Linked DNA regions of Arabidopsis thaliana. The protein of the gene in region 1 interacts with the protein of each later gene in a pairwise test. Each region holds a gene or a part of one and is shown on either strand. Other genes may lie near its edges. The genes, in order: BETA-OHASE 2 and AT1G73920.

Region 1 (5,018 bases):
AATGTATTTATCAAAGATCTCTCCTTGGACGGTGCTCTTATTGTAGATTCCATTGATGATGCAGAGGTATGTGATGTGTATTTGAAAGCTATCATATTCCATTGTTATCTCTTTGATTATCATCATATTAACATTGTGAAAACAGGTAAAACTTGGAGGTTTGATAAAGAACAATGGTTGGACCATGGAGAGTGTAGATTACAAGGACACATCGGTTCCAGAAGAAATAAGAATCAGAGGTTTTAGATTCAACAAAGTGGAGCAACTCGAAAAGAAGTTAACTCAACCTGGCAAATTTTCTGTTGAAGATTGAAGTTATCTTTGCACATTTATGTGACACTTTTTTAAAAAGTGTTATTTGGCAATATGATCAATTAGCAAATTAGCTATTTTTTTAAGAGAATGCCAAATGATCCATTAATTTGTCCTTCTAATGGAGAGCTTAATTCTTTCTTTCGTTTTGTTTCCAACGAAACACTTCCTTTTCTTTGTTTTTCAACAAAACCCGAATATATTGTTTCTTTATGTTTTTCTAAATCTTTATTAGCCTGACTCTTTCTTCTACGTCATTTTTTATATATACTAAAAGAAAGACTAGTCCCAAAATGTATTACAAAAACATCAAAGAAGTAAAATTGGGTTTGTAGCAATTAAGAGGTAGAAGAACCCTTGTTGTATAATTTGATTCTCCGGCTTATCTCTTTCTCCAACTCTTCTTTTCCTCCCACTTCTTCTACTTCCTGCACCATTCTCAAAATCCAATCCAAACCATATGCAAACAAAAAATAAAAATCAATTCACGTGTTAAACAAAAATAACATGCAAATTATCAATTGATATCTCATATGTTTATTTTTGAAAAGGGTTATATATTCTTGCCTTTGGTCCAAGAAACAGCCCATATGGTACACCTTTGAATTTGTCTGTGTGGTGTAGCTAAAAAGATAAAGCCATAATCGTTAGCAAAATTTTGTAAATCAATAATAACTATATGGAATGAAGAACGTTAAGAGCGTTGGTTAACGATGGTATTAAAACCTGGTGAGCGGCGGCGACCTTTCGAAGGTAAGGAACGTTGGCAATGGGACCTACAGGGAATCTCTTGTGCACAAGTCCATCGTGAACGAACATGTAAGCCATTCCAAACATCGTTATTCCCAGTCCCTGGTGATATTACAAACCAGTCAGCACAAAAAACAAGAAACAGATAGTACTCGTATAGTGGTTTCATTAGTCTAAGTACACCCAATCTTTCATGTTTGGACGGGTACTAGATGATAGGTCTCACCCAACTCACACGTTCACACTCTTTGTGGGACGGTGAAAAGAAAAAAAAAAACCACAAAAAATTTTCATACTTTCGGTTTCCGTGACTTTATTTAAAGAAGTCAAATACCAATTTACTATTGCTTCTCTCTTTATAGAAAAACAAAAGACTTTTGATCTTTTCTTTATAAGTTTCGGATATTGTCGAAAGAGAGAAAAAAGACTTACGGCACCGAAGCAGAGACCAGGAACAAGTCCTTTATTCAAGAATCCATAATAGAGTAGACCAATCGCAGGAACCGCGTTTGTTATAGCAAACACATCGTTTAACTCAAACGCTCCTTCTCTTGGTTTGTGATGTGACTGCCACAAACCAATAACCGGCTATGAATATTCTTAATTTGTTAGCAGTAAACCGGAAAAGAAAAACCAGAATAATGAGAAAAAATGAAATACCTCATGCATGTTCCATAAAGAATCATGCCAAAGAGCTCTATGAGCCCATCTTGCCCAAAACTCCATCCCAACCTAAAATTCAAATATACGAAAATATAAATGAATCGGAATAAGCATGGACATTGGCTTTTTACGGTTTAACTTGTTCTGGTTATTGAACTTCGTTTTTTTCGGATGTTAGAAAATAGGCTGAAAACAAATGTATTTTGATAAGTCTAGTTAAAAATAAAATTTCTTATGAATTTGTGGTTTAATTCTGTTTGTTTGCATAGAATTTTATTTAGTTTGAGTTATAAATAAAATTTGGTTCGGAATTAGATTGACATATTTCGGTTTGGTTTGGATTTTCCCACCCCAAAATGGGAATATAATGTAGGAATGAAACTTACGGCAGCACCAACGGAAAGAGCAAATGTACCAAACATCTCTAACACAGACACTTCACCTCCCTAAAAAAAATCAAATTTTTCACTTTTGGAAATTAGGACAAATAGTATTGAATTTTCGTTATTTATTTATTTATTATAATTTACCTTCATTTGCCAAGAAAATCGGTAATAAACAGCCATTATAGCCATAGAAGTGATACCAAAGCTCGACATCACAGCTGCTATTAAATAAGTGAACCTCTCTGATTTCTTCTTCTCCGCTTTCTTGAGAAGCCGCGACGTCATCAAGATCTCAGAAGAGCTTGTCGTGCTTTCTGGTTTGTTGTCATCGTCCATGGGAGAGCTTTGTTTCCGTTCTTCCACGACGAAACAAACGGTGAGAATCTTTCGACGTCGGAAGCCGTTGAATCTTAGAGATGGAGGGAAAACTGCGGTGGATATAGGGTGGTTTGCGGAGAAAGAAGAGCGGTTGAGTGGTTTGAGTGTTACGGCGATTGTTGATAGTCCTGCTGCCATGGAAGGAGTTCGTTGAGGTTTTATGAAACTTTAACGAAAGAGAGTTATAGAGACAAATATAAAGAGAAACACAAGGAGACTATTGTGTGGTAAAGCTTTGCAGAGAGAAGAGCTAAATGGAGAGAGGCCACATTTTTATTTTCTTTTACAAACAAATTATATAAAAACTATACCATTTTGTTTTTTTTATATGTTGAGTCAATTACAATAATATTGTTAATGTTTATAATAAGAAAAACATTTCGCAAAAGCAAGCATATAAACAAATACAAAAAGTGAGTTTATTAGAATTTGAGGTAAGGAGAGGTGATGGCCTGATGGGCCATTTTCTAGGATTTTCCCAAGTCATCGACAGCGAATCACTCCACTTCTATTTAATGGCTCCACGTGGCCTCTTCTTCCACCGAATAGGCAAGAGGAGTATCACCAACTTCCACATGTCCAATCCTTATTTGTTCATATTGTTTCATCAGATGACACTCTTCAAAGGTAAATGAGGTATTGCTTGACATGAAGCTTCTAGTTCTCGTTCTAAACTTGTGCGACTTAAAAAGGATCTCAAGTATACAACTACAGGTGGTTTAATTTACACAAGTTGTTTCCATGCATTTTCAAAACAGATTTCAGCTTGATTTGTAGTTTTGACAAGTTACTAACAAAACAAAATAGCAAAAGTTATGACTGAAATATATGAATGTGACTATGTGAGTGATCAGAGCCCAGAAAAGTTACTAAAAAGCCGCAGCATAAACTAATTGTTTAAAGTTACAGATCAATTTGCTTTGGTTTTAACTAAAAGGAAATATTAATTTGCTCTGTTTGATTAGTATGTTACTCAACTAAAAATATGCATTTCTGATAAATTCTGGTTAATGTGGTTCTGTTACACCAAATTCGCATTTTACTACTATAGTAAAGAAACTTATTTCGTATTATTCGGATTATTATAAAGTTGACTAAATTCGATTCGATTACAACTTGGTTCGGTTCGGTTCGGTTACAACGCCGACCTGTAATTAAAACCTTTTTAACTGCAAAATTAATGAAGATACACACACGTAATCGAATATTCTCAACGACGCGTAAGCTTCCTCTCTAATTACTTACTTCGTCTCCAGGGTAATCTGATCTCTCTCATCACCTCTCTCTTCTCCTGAAATCACCATGAGTATGGAAGCAACGGAGCTACAAGATCTCTCTGACGACGCCGATTACGCCGCTTCTCAACAACAAGTTTGTTATTCTGACTTTGTCCTTCTTCTCGTGCTTTCTCAATTTTGATTCAACAATTCGATCGTAATTTTCCGATAATAAATCTTCGCCAATGCGAATTTGAATCCATTATCTATTTGACTTGATCGTTTGATTGTGTTGCTATGGCTCTTGATTTTGTTAGGGATCGGCTAGTATGATGCGTAGCGATAGCGGAAAGAGAAGTTTACAAAGTGAACACGAAGACGCTGTATTGATTTATTTGAAAGATAACGTTGCAATTCATCCTACACAGTTCGCATCTGAGAGGATTAGTGGTAGATTGAAGTTGACTAAGCAAGACTCTGTTCTCTTTCTGGTAATCAATCACTGAAATTGATTGTTTGTTTGTATTAGTTTTGTATTCATTCACTTACTTGTTTCCATTTTTTGATATATGATGGCTAGTCGTGGATTCCGTACAAGGGACAAACATCAAATGCAAAGCTATCAGAGAAAGGTATTTAGGATTCCTTGAACTGAATTAGTATATGTTAGTATTGAAGATTAATGCTTTACCTTTGTTCTTAGTTTCTATATCTTTTCTAGACAGGAGTCTTTATACCATCACCGCGGTTCCGTTTACTGAAGTGAGGTCCATTAGGAGACACACTCCTGCTCTCGGATGGCAGTATGTAATTGTTGTCCTGTCTTCTGGTAAGCAAAACTTTTGGCTGTTGCTTTTTGTGAGATATATATAATGAATTACTATACGGGAGGGGGTTTCCCTTTTCCTTCTCGACAAGTCGAATGATTCAGACTTAATGGTTTAAAATGACCTGCAGGACTTGCATTTCCACCTCTGTACTTCTACAATGGAGGAGTCAGGGAGTTTCTGGCCATGGTGAAGCAGCATGTTTTTCTTGCAAGGTTTGTGTCTGATATGAGATAGTTTTTTGTTCTGTATTGATATTCTTATTTATAACCTGTCTTTATAGTCTGTTTCGGTTACTGTATGAAAGTAGCTTAGGAATGCACAGTGTCAATGTATTGACAGGCTTTTATAGCACTTGTTACTTACTCATTAGAGAGGTCTAACATGAAAACTTTTGGTTCACCCGAGTTTATTATCGTATGGAACTGGGTGGCTCGTTACATAGTTATGTCACAAAGAAAATATTCAGAATTCATAGTCTTACA
Region 2 (6,512 bases), on another chromosome or scaffold:
AACTGAAGAAGGATCTACAAGCGGTGTTCAGTGTGCTTCCAAAGGACATGCAGCAACTTCTGCTTTTAAATCCACAAAGAGCATCTCTTCTTCAAGATCCATCAGAGCTCCAATGAATGCTCTTCTTCACTACGGCGTCCATGAGGATTCTGATTTCTTTTCTTCCCTTTTCTGTTTCATTCTTTGAACTGTACCAAAGAAAAAAGAGAAAAATTCTTCATCTTCCCTAATTGTTTACTCGTTTTTTCTTTTGAAACATGAGAATCACACAACACCGAAATCACTGATCACTGCTGTATTTTTAACTCTATAACCAGATAAATTTATCCTTCTTGGATCCATTAAACATGTAACTGTAACTATGATTTATATTATTACGACAAATGAATAAACTGTATGACCTACAGAAGTTCTATGTCAAAGTATGCAAAGATTCGCCAACTATATGATTAATTGGTCTCTTCAGATCTTCCAATGGAAAGGAGGAATTTTCTGGATTCATAGCATCTTTCATGACATCATATCATTTTCATGGAAACCAAACCACTAGAAACATTATTATATACCATACGGCTGAAAAAAGCATCTCTCACAACAAGATCATTTCATCAAGGGATCAATCTTTACGGTATATGTACACTATTATAGCCAAGCCATAGGATACTGGCATAGAACACACACATGAAGCTTACACACAACATCACAATACAAAGACACCAAACTCTACGAGGCATTGAACATTGGCCATAGATCGGTTTCAGCTACTACACTACTGTACCCTCCTTTTTCTTCTTCTTCAACTTCATACCTTTCTGACTGGTCTGCCTCTGTTGAACTGGTGTCTGTTTCACAAGCAGAAGCCGCGACATCACATATCTCAAAAGCTCTTCACGGTGAGAGAATGTGAAATCAAGGTGAGCATACTCAAACTCATTAAACGATACATCGACCTCGGCATCTCTCATCACATTGTAGTGTTTCTTCACCATAGAGGAACGGATCACCTTGTCGTTCCTTCCCGCTACTAAATCCACAGGCACATCGATGAACTTGTAAGACTCCCCTAGATCAAGCGGTTCAGGAGAGCCATAAACCTCCATGTTAGCTGATCTGCTTCCATAATCATACATCCTGAATTTACCGGTGTGTTTGATCTGAGCAAGATGTTGCGCCACACGGAAGGAGACAGCTGGCATGTCGTTCATGTTGTAGTGAGGCAATCCTAAGACTCCGACCCAATTCGAGCTGTCTCCACCAACTACATAACTCATTAGAGTTTGGACCAATCCACCAAGAGCAGGATAGTTGTGAAAGTCACGGGCTAACTTGTTCAGAAGCATTCTGAAGAATCTTGTCGGTATGTAGAAGGCAGGCACGATGCGAGCCAAAACTGGACTAATGAAAAGGAATATGTACTCAACTATTGTGAAACCTAAGTTCGAGTCCTCATGAAACCCAGCAGGTGAAAGTAGGATTAGTCGTGAGAGTCTGTGTGGCTTCTCCTTGATTTTTCGAGTAATAACATACATCAGAATTGCAGCACCGCCTAGACTGTGACAGATGGCACAGAGCTTATAAGGCTCCTCCTGGTTGATTTCTTCATCGATATTGGGCTGGCAGAGCTTGAGTTCTGTAGTTTTTATTTCATGAATTTTTTCTATCATCGCTGGGATATCTTCAGTACCGTGCTCGTTAATGGAGTATCGCCAGAACCTGCATTTTGGTCAATAACAATGAACATTTGTACAACTTGCAAATATATACATATGATGAAACTCCACTATCATAAAGAAACCAGACAGTGCATGTAGATTAAGTAAGAAGTGAACTTTAAAGCAATAACTCACTCTTTTGAGGATATGTTCTTGTTCACATGATCTCTTGAAACTAAACCCCGAAAGTTACCCAGAAAAACATCATAGCCTGTAAAGGAAAAGAGTGTAAGAAGCTGATAAATCGTTGCCGTATGTGAATTAATAAAAGATTGGAAAATGAAAAACTTGAGGCTTGAACCTTGGTCATACGCAGCAAAAGCCGGAGATCCAACAACCCCATTAGATACCCATCTGAAGAAAAACACGCAGTAGAGAAAAAGAGTAATCAATAATGTTTCATAGGACATATATTAGATCAAAACATCAGAGGATTATAGGATGTTCCAAGTCAAAACTAAATCTTTAAGAAGGATCGGAGAGAAGGAAAGGGAAAAAAGAAGATGAGATAACTAAAGTAACTGAAAGCAGTATCCCTCCTAATCGCACCAAAAGATTTTCCCAAATCCATTTTTGTGTCTTGAGCAAATCAAACACACACGCAAAGTTGAAGGGAACAAATTATGAAAATAATTTTTTTTTGGGTAAAGAGTCAGGAACATTGAAACGCCTAGGAATGTTATGCTACATGGATATAGAAAATAATACTTCCTCAACTTTTCAGCTTACTAAGTTTCCAAAGTTTACGAGTCATCTAAGAACTAGACCATGAAACTTACCCCATTGAAGAATCCAAAACCCCATGCTGCAAAAAAACAGCTTTCCTTGCATCACGTCTGCAAAGACAAGAGTAGTCAACGATCACATTAAGAGACAATGTAACAGGAATGGAAAGCATGCACAAGCGAGCTTAATATCTAACAAGAAAGTTATACCTTGGTATCCTTTCCAAGACAAGAACATATCCGTCAGATGTAATAACACGAATAGCTTCGTAAGGATACCTACCAAGAGTAGGAGAGAAATCAAGTAAATATCAACTACTTGAGAAAGAGAAAAAAAAAATGGAAGCATGAGACATCGAATCTGCCCCTTTACCCCAACTCTGTTATGACATCTTGACACGTTCGAGTATCAGTGTTCATAGAGTTGTATAAACGTGTGGGACTTTCAACGGGCCTTTCCGTGGGGGATGGATCTGTATCTCCTAAAGTAGCAGTCTGCACAGTTTCATCATAAGCAACCTCACCATGGTTTTCTTTAGGGCTGCGACTGGAAGATGAGAACCATGATAACAATATTGCAAAAGCTTCTGATGGAGAAAGAAGAAGATGCGTAGCCTTGTGAAAAAAATCAAATATTGCTTCTATGCCGATCTCGATAGCAAGATGAAGATCCTGAAAAATAAAGCACATTAAGTAGGACGAGTTTGTCAAAAGGTTTAAAATCACAAAAATGATTGTAACATTGAATATTTGTTCGTGCATCCACAAACCTCAATAACCCCACGTCTTCTATCAGTAGTTCGGTTGGGAACATCATGGTCTTTGCTTGAGTTGGTCTTGCTAATACGAGGTCTAGATGAATGTTGGTGCCTTCTCGGGCTCGCAGGAATTCTTGAACTTCGTTTATAGAATAAACTTATAATATATTGTGGTATCCATAGCAAGATCCGTACAGGAAACATTAACCACCAAAGAATGAACGTAATCCACTCTGTCCAGTGGTTTTCAGAACTTGCAGAAGTGCTAGCCCAAGAGAGGCGTGAGCTTTGAGATGATGGTGATGGAGGCAAAGGACCATCACTATCTTCTCCAGAAGAATACTCCAAGCTTGAAGTATCAGAATCAACAGAAAGCTCATGAATGAACTCATTGAAAGAAGAGACCCCACTGCCATCAAAAACAGAGTAAAATTAGCATATTTTGAAGGCTTGCAAATAAACTAACAACAGAAGAATCATGAGAAATTATTACTTATGCATCCACCGTGGTAAACGTGGTCCACGAAACGTAGGCCTGAGTTCCCAGCCATGTAAGCCTTCAAGAATATTAGCCTTCCCTGGGAGAAGGGTCAACAGAAGAGCTGATACTCCATTTATGCACCTCGCAATGTTATTCAAAGACTCATATGTAACAGTTTTTACTGATCTGCACTAAAAGCCAAAACATAATCAAAAAGCTTATTTAGTTTAAGCTTGTTAGACAACATAAGGGAAAAGAAGAACATCTAACAAAAAGACGAACCAAAAAAAAAGAAATAGTCATTTCACCGACTCAAAGTTCATAGCCAACATCAACTCTAAAAGACGAAGCTTTGAATGAAGATACTAGAATAAAATGGTCTAACAAAACTCAAAAACACAATCTACCAATACTAATTAACAAAGAGACTTACTATAATCACCAAACGATCAAAAACTTAAAAATCTCTACTTGTCATTTATGAAACATTAGAACAACTATAGGCGCATACACAGATGAATCCACTGATGATCGATAAGAAAAAAGACTCACTCTTTGGTTACAGCGAGAGCGTTGTCCACGATCCGTTGCATTGCTTTTTTCTCAAAAATCAGATTTTTTTGTTTTTTTGGAAATATCAGAAAATTTGAAACCAAAAAACAATCTGATTCGTCGCCGTAATCCGAAAATTATCGAGGAAAACGACAAAGAGAAAATTTCTTATCCACCTGAGAAAACACAAAATTTAGCCAGAATAGAAATCTCTCGATGCTAGGAGATATTGGACCAAATCGCGATCGAGATTTAATCCGAACTCAAAATAAGGAAAACACAGAGACCCACAGGAGCCGCGATTCGAGAATCAAAAATCTAAAAAGAAAAAACAAAATTGGAGAGAATCTGACGAAAATAAAATAAAAATGGGAGAATCCGATTAAATAGGGGCACGTCGGCGATTCTTGCCGTCCAGAGACCAGAAAATGGTGACACGTGGACATGTGTTATTGGATAATGACGAATGTGACAAAAACTACGACACGTAAATTCGACTTTTGGATAACGGAGAAGGTGGATTTACCAAACAGGCAAACACACAAGTACATTTGTGGTTGTTTTCACTTAGAAAAATAGTACATTTGTTGTATGTTAACGTTGAAACATTATATTATACGAAGCTATTTCTAAAGCTTCATAATAATAATAAAAAAGTGTTTAATATTTGCCTAAATAAATGAAAAGATACTAATTACTTAATCCCTAAACCCTCTGACTGTCTCCAAAGGTTCTCGTTATCTTGATCTCAAGCAGCTTTTAAGGGCATTTCCTCTGGATGTAAGAAGCTCCATGCTCTGCATACCTGTCATGTACACAAAAAGACTCAAACCCTAGCGATGAGAAGACACTGTTTATACGTGAGTCGAGATCTAGAGAGCAATCCAATGTGTTACTTACTCAGACTTGGAGAACCACATTTGCTGGAATGAGCCTAACGATGCCAGTATACTACCTTACTTCTACCAAGTCTTTCTCGAGGCGTTCTTTCAATTACTGCATTGATGATGTTCCACCAGAATAATCTGTTCCTAATCCAAGATGAACTCAGCATCGATAAAAGGTAGAGAAACCAGACTTTTCTCTCTGCTGCTGTGAGTTCAGAGGAGGCTCTGCAAGTAGCATTGGGTGCTCCGTGGGATCAATCATTAGACAATTCCTTGAATAATAAACATTTACACAGATGAAATCATCAATCAACTATAAATGGAAAAGATAAAGATTAAACAGTTAAAGACAAAAACTAACAGATTCTGCAAATTACCTAAAAGCATGATCCCATACATTGTCCACCATATCCCAATCAGTTACAATGCCATCCTTTGTAGGTGACAATATCTGGAACAGACAAATGTCAACTAATAGAGAGACCTGAAAATTTATCTTCATCCCTAACCATTTTGAAGTTTAATAAAGAAAACTGACCTCCATTTGATCGCGGCGAAAGTTCAAAGCTTGAGATCCTGTGTAAAGCTTCCTTTTGCCTTTTTCTTTATCAGACTCCTTTGCATCCTCCGTGGTGTTTGCAGCATCATCAATATCCATTCCATTTCCATCTATCGCTCCAACAACCTTATAAGTTATATAACACATCAACAACAGCAACAACAAAAAACCTAAATTTCTCGAATTGCTTGCTCTACACTAAAAGGACCTAACTTTAACCAATTGAAAAGAGAGGAAGTAAAGAATGAGACTTACGGAAGGGAAAACAGCTTTAGGGGCATCTTCTCCGGCGTAACCAGCTTTGCAAGTGTGAGAACCTAAGTCTACTACGATAGCTGACACTTCGTCTGTTCAATATATAAGAAACCCCACCAAGGAAAAGTTTACACCTTTACGAGACGAGCTCAAGCGAAAAGGGAAAGAAGTAATGCTGAATTTGTACAATCAGAGAGAGATTTTAGAGAGGACGAAAATAAAACCTACCTCCACCGTACATGGCTGCCGAGAATGGGAGAGGTGAAGAGAGGTTTTCTCTACCGGAGCTTCGTCGGAAGGTTTAAGAACGGAACCGGAAAGTAAACTATTTAAGTGATTTCACTTTGTCTCGGATTGGGAAGTTGAATATAAAGAAGAGAAGGACTAAAACAAACAAACCTGAAATATGAGGGACTAAAACTAAAGAAACTGAAAACAAAGGGACTAAAATAAAAACAAATATGAAAAAATTAAAAATACGCCGTTGCCGGGGATCGAACCCGGGTCACCCGCGTGACAGGCGGGAATACTTACCACTATACTACAACGACTTTGTTGCTCAAGTTTTCTAAATTTGGTATTT

Evidence for each region.
Region 2: the proteins of BETA-OHASE 2 (region 1) and AT1G73920 interact in a two-hybrid assay, tested with the Arabidopsis thaliana proteins (one large-scale study listed by BioGRID).

The regions. Positions count from the first base shown.
Region 1 is NC_003076.8:21,334,261-21,339,278, forward strand, and holds BETA-OHASE 2 (beta-carotene hydroxylase 2), read right to left. Parts: upstream 2,867-5,018; 5' UTR 2,628-2,866; coding exon 2,256-2,627; intron 2,172-2,255; coding exon 2,112-2,171; intron 1,795-2,111; coding exon 1,723-1,794; intron 1,630-1,722; coding exon 1,495-1,629; intron 1,165-1,494; coding exon 1,039-1,164; intron 937-1,038; coding exon 880-936; intron 741-879; coding exon 651-740; 3' UTR 533-650; downstream 1-532. Other genes in the region: USP (UDP-sugar pyrophosphorylase), read left to right, coding at 1-66, 146-313; AT5G52580 (RabGAP/TBC domain-containing protein), read left to right, coding at 3,792-3,860, 4,024-4,197, 4,287-4,338, 4,428-4,535, 4,664-4,748. UniProt on the Arabidopsis thaliana protein: Nonheme diiron monooxygenase involved in the biosynthesis of xanthophylls. Specific for beta-ring hydroxylations of beta-carotene. Also has a low activity toward the beta- and epsilon-rings of alpha-carotene.
Region 2 is NC_003070.9:27,788,951-27,795,462, reverse strand, and holds AT1G73920 (alpha/beta-Hydrolases superfamily protein), read right to left. Parts: upstream 4,727-6,512; 5' UTR 4,270-4,726; coding exon 4,229-4,269; intron 3,868-4,228; exon of another isoform or gene 3,863-3,867; coding exon 3,689-3,862; intron 3,605-3,688; coding exon 3,208-3,604; intron 3,110-3,207; coding exon 2,811-3,109; intron 2,717-2,810; coding exon 2,648-2,716; intron 2,549-2,647; coding exon 2,492-2,548; intron 2,067-2,491; coding exon 2,014-2,066; intron 1,924-2,013; coding exon 1,848-1,923; intron 1,714-1,847; coding exon 765-1,713; 3' UTR 535-764; downstream 1-534. Other genes in the region: AT1G73930 (polarity axis stabilization protein), read left to right, coding at 1-116; ARP4A (actin-related proteins 4A), read right to left, coding at 5,163-5,340, 5,493-5,566, 5,654-5,800, 5,930-6,021, 6,158-6,170.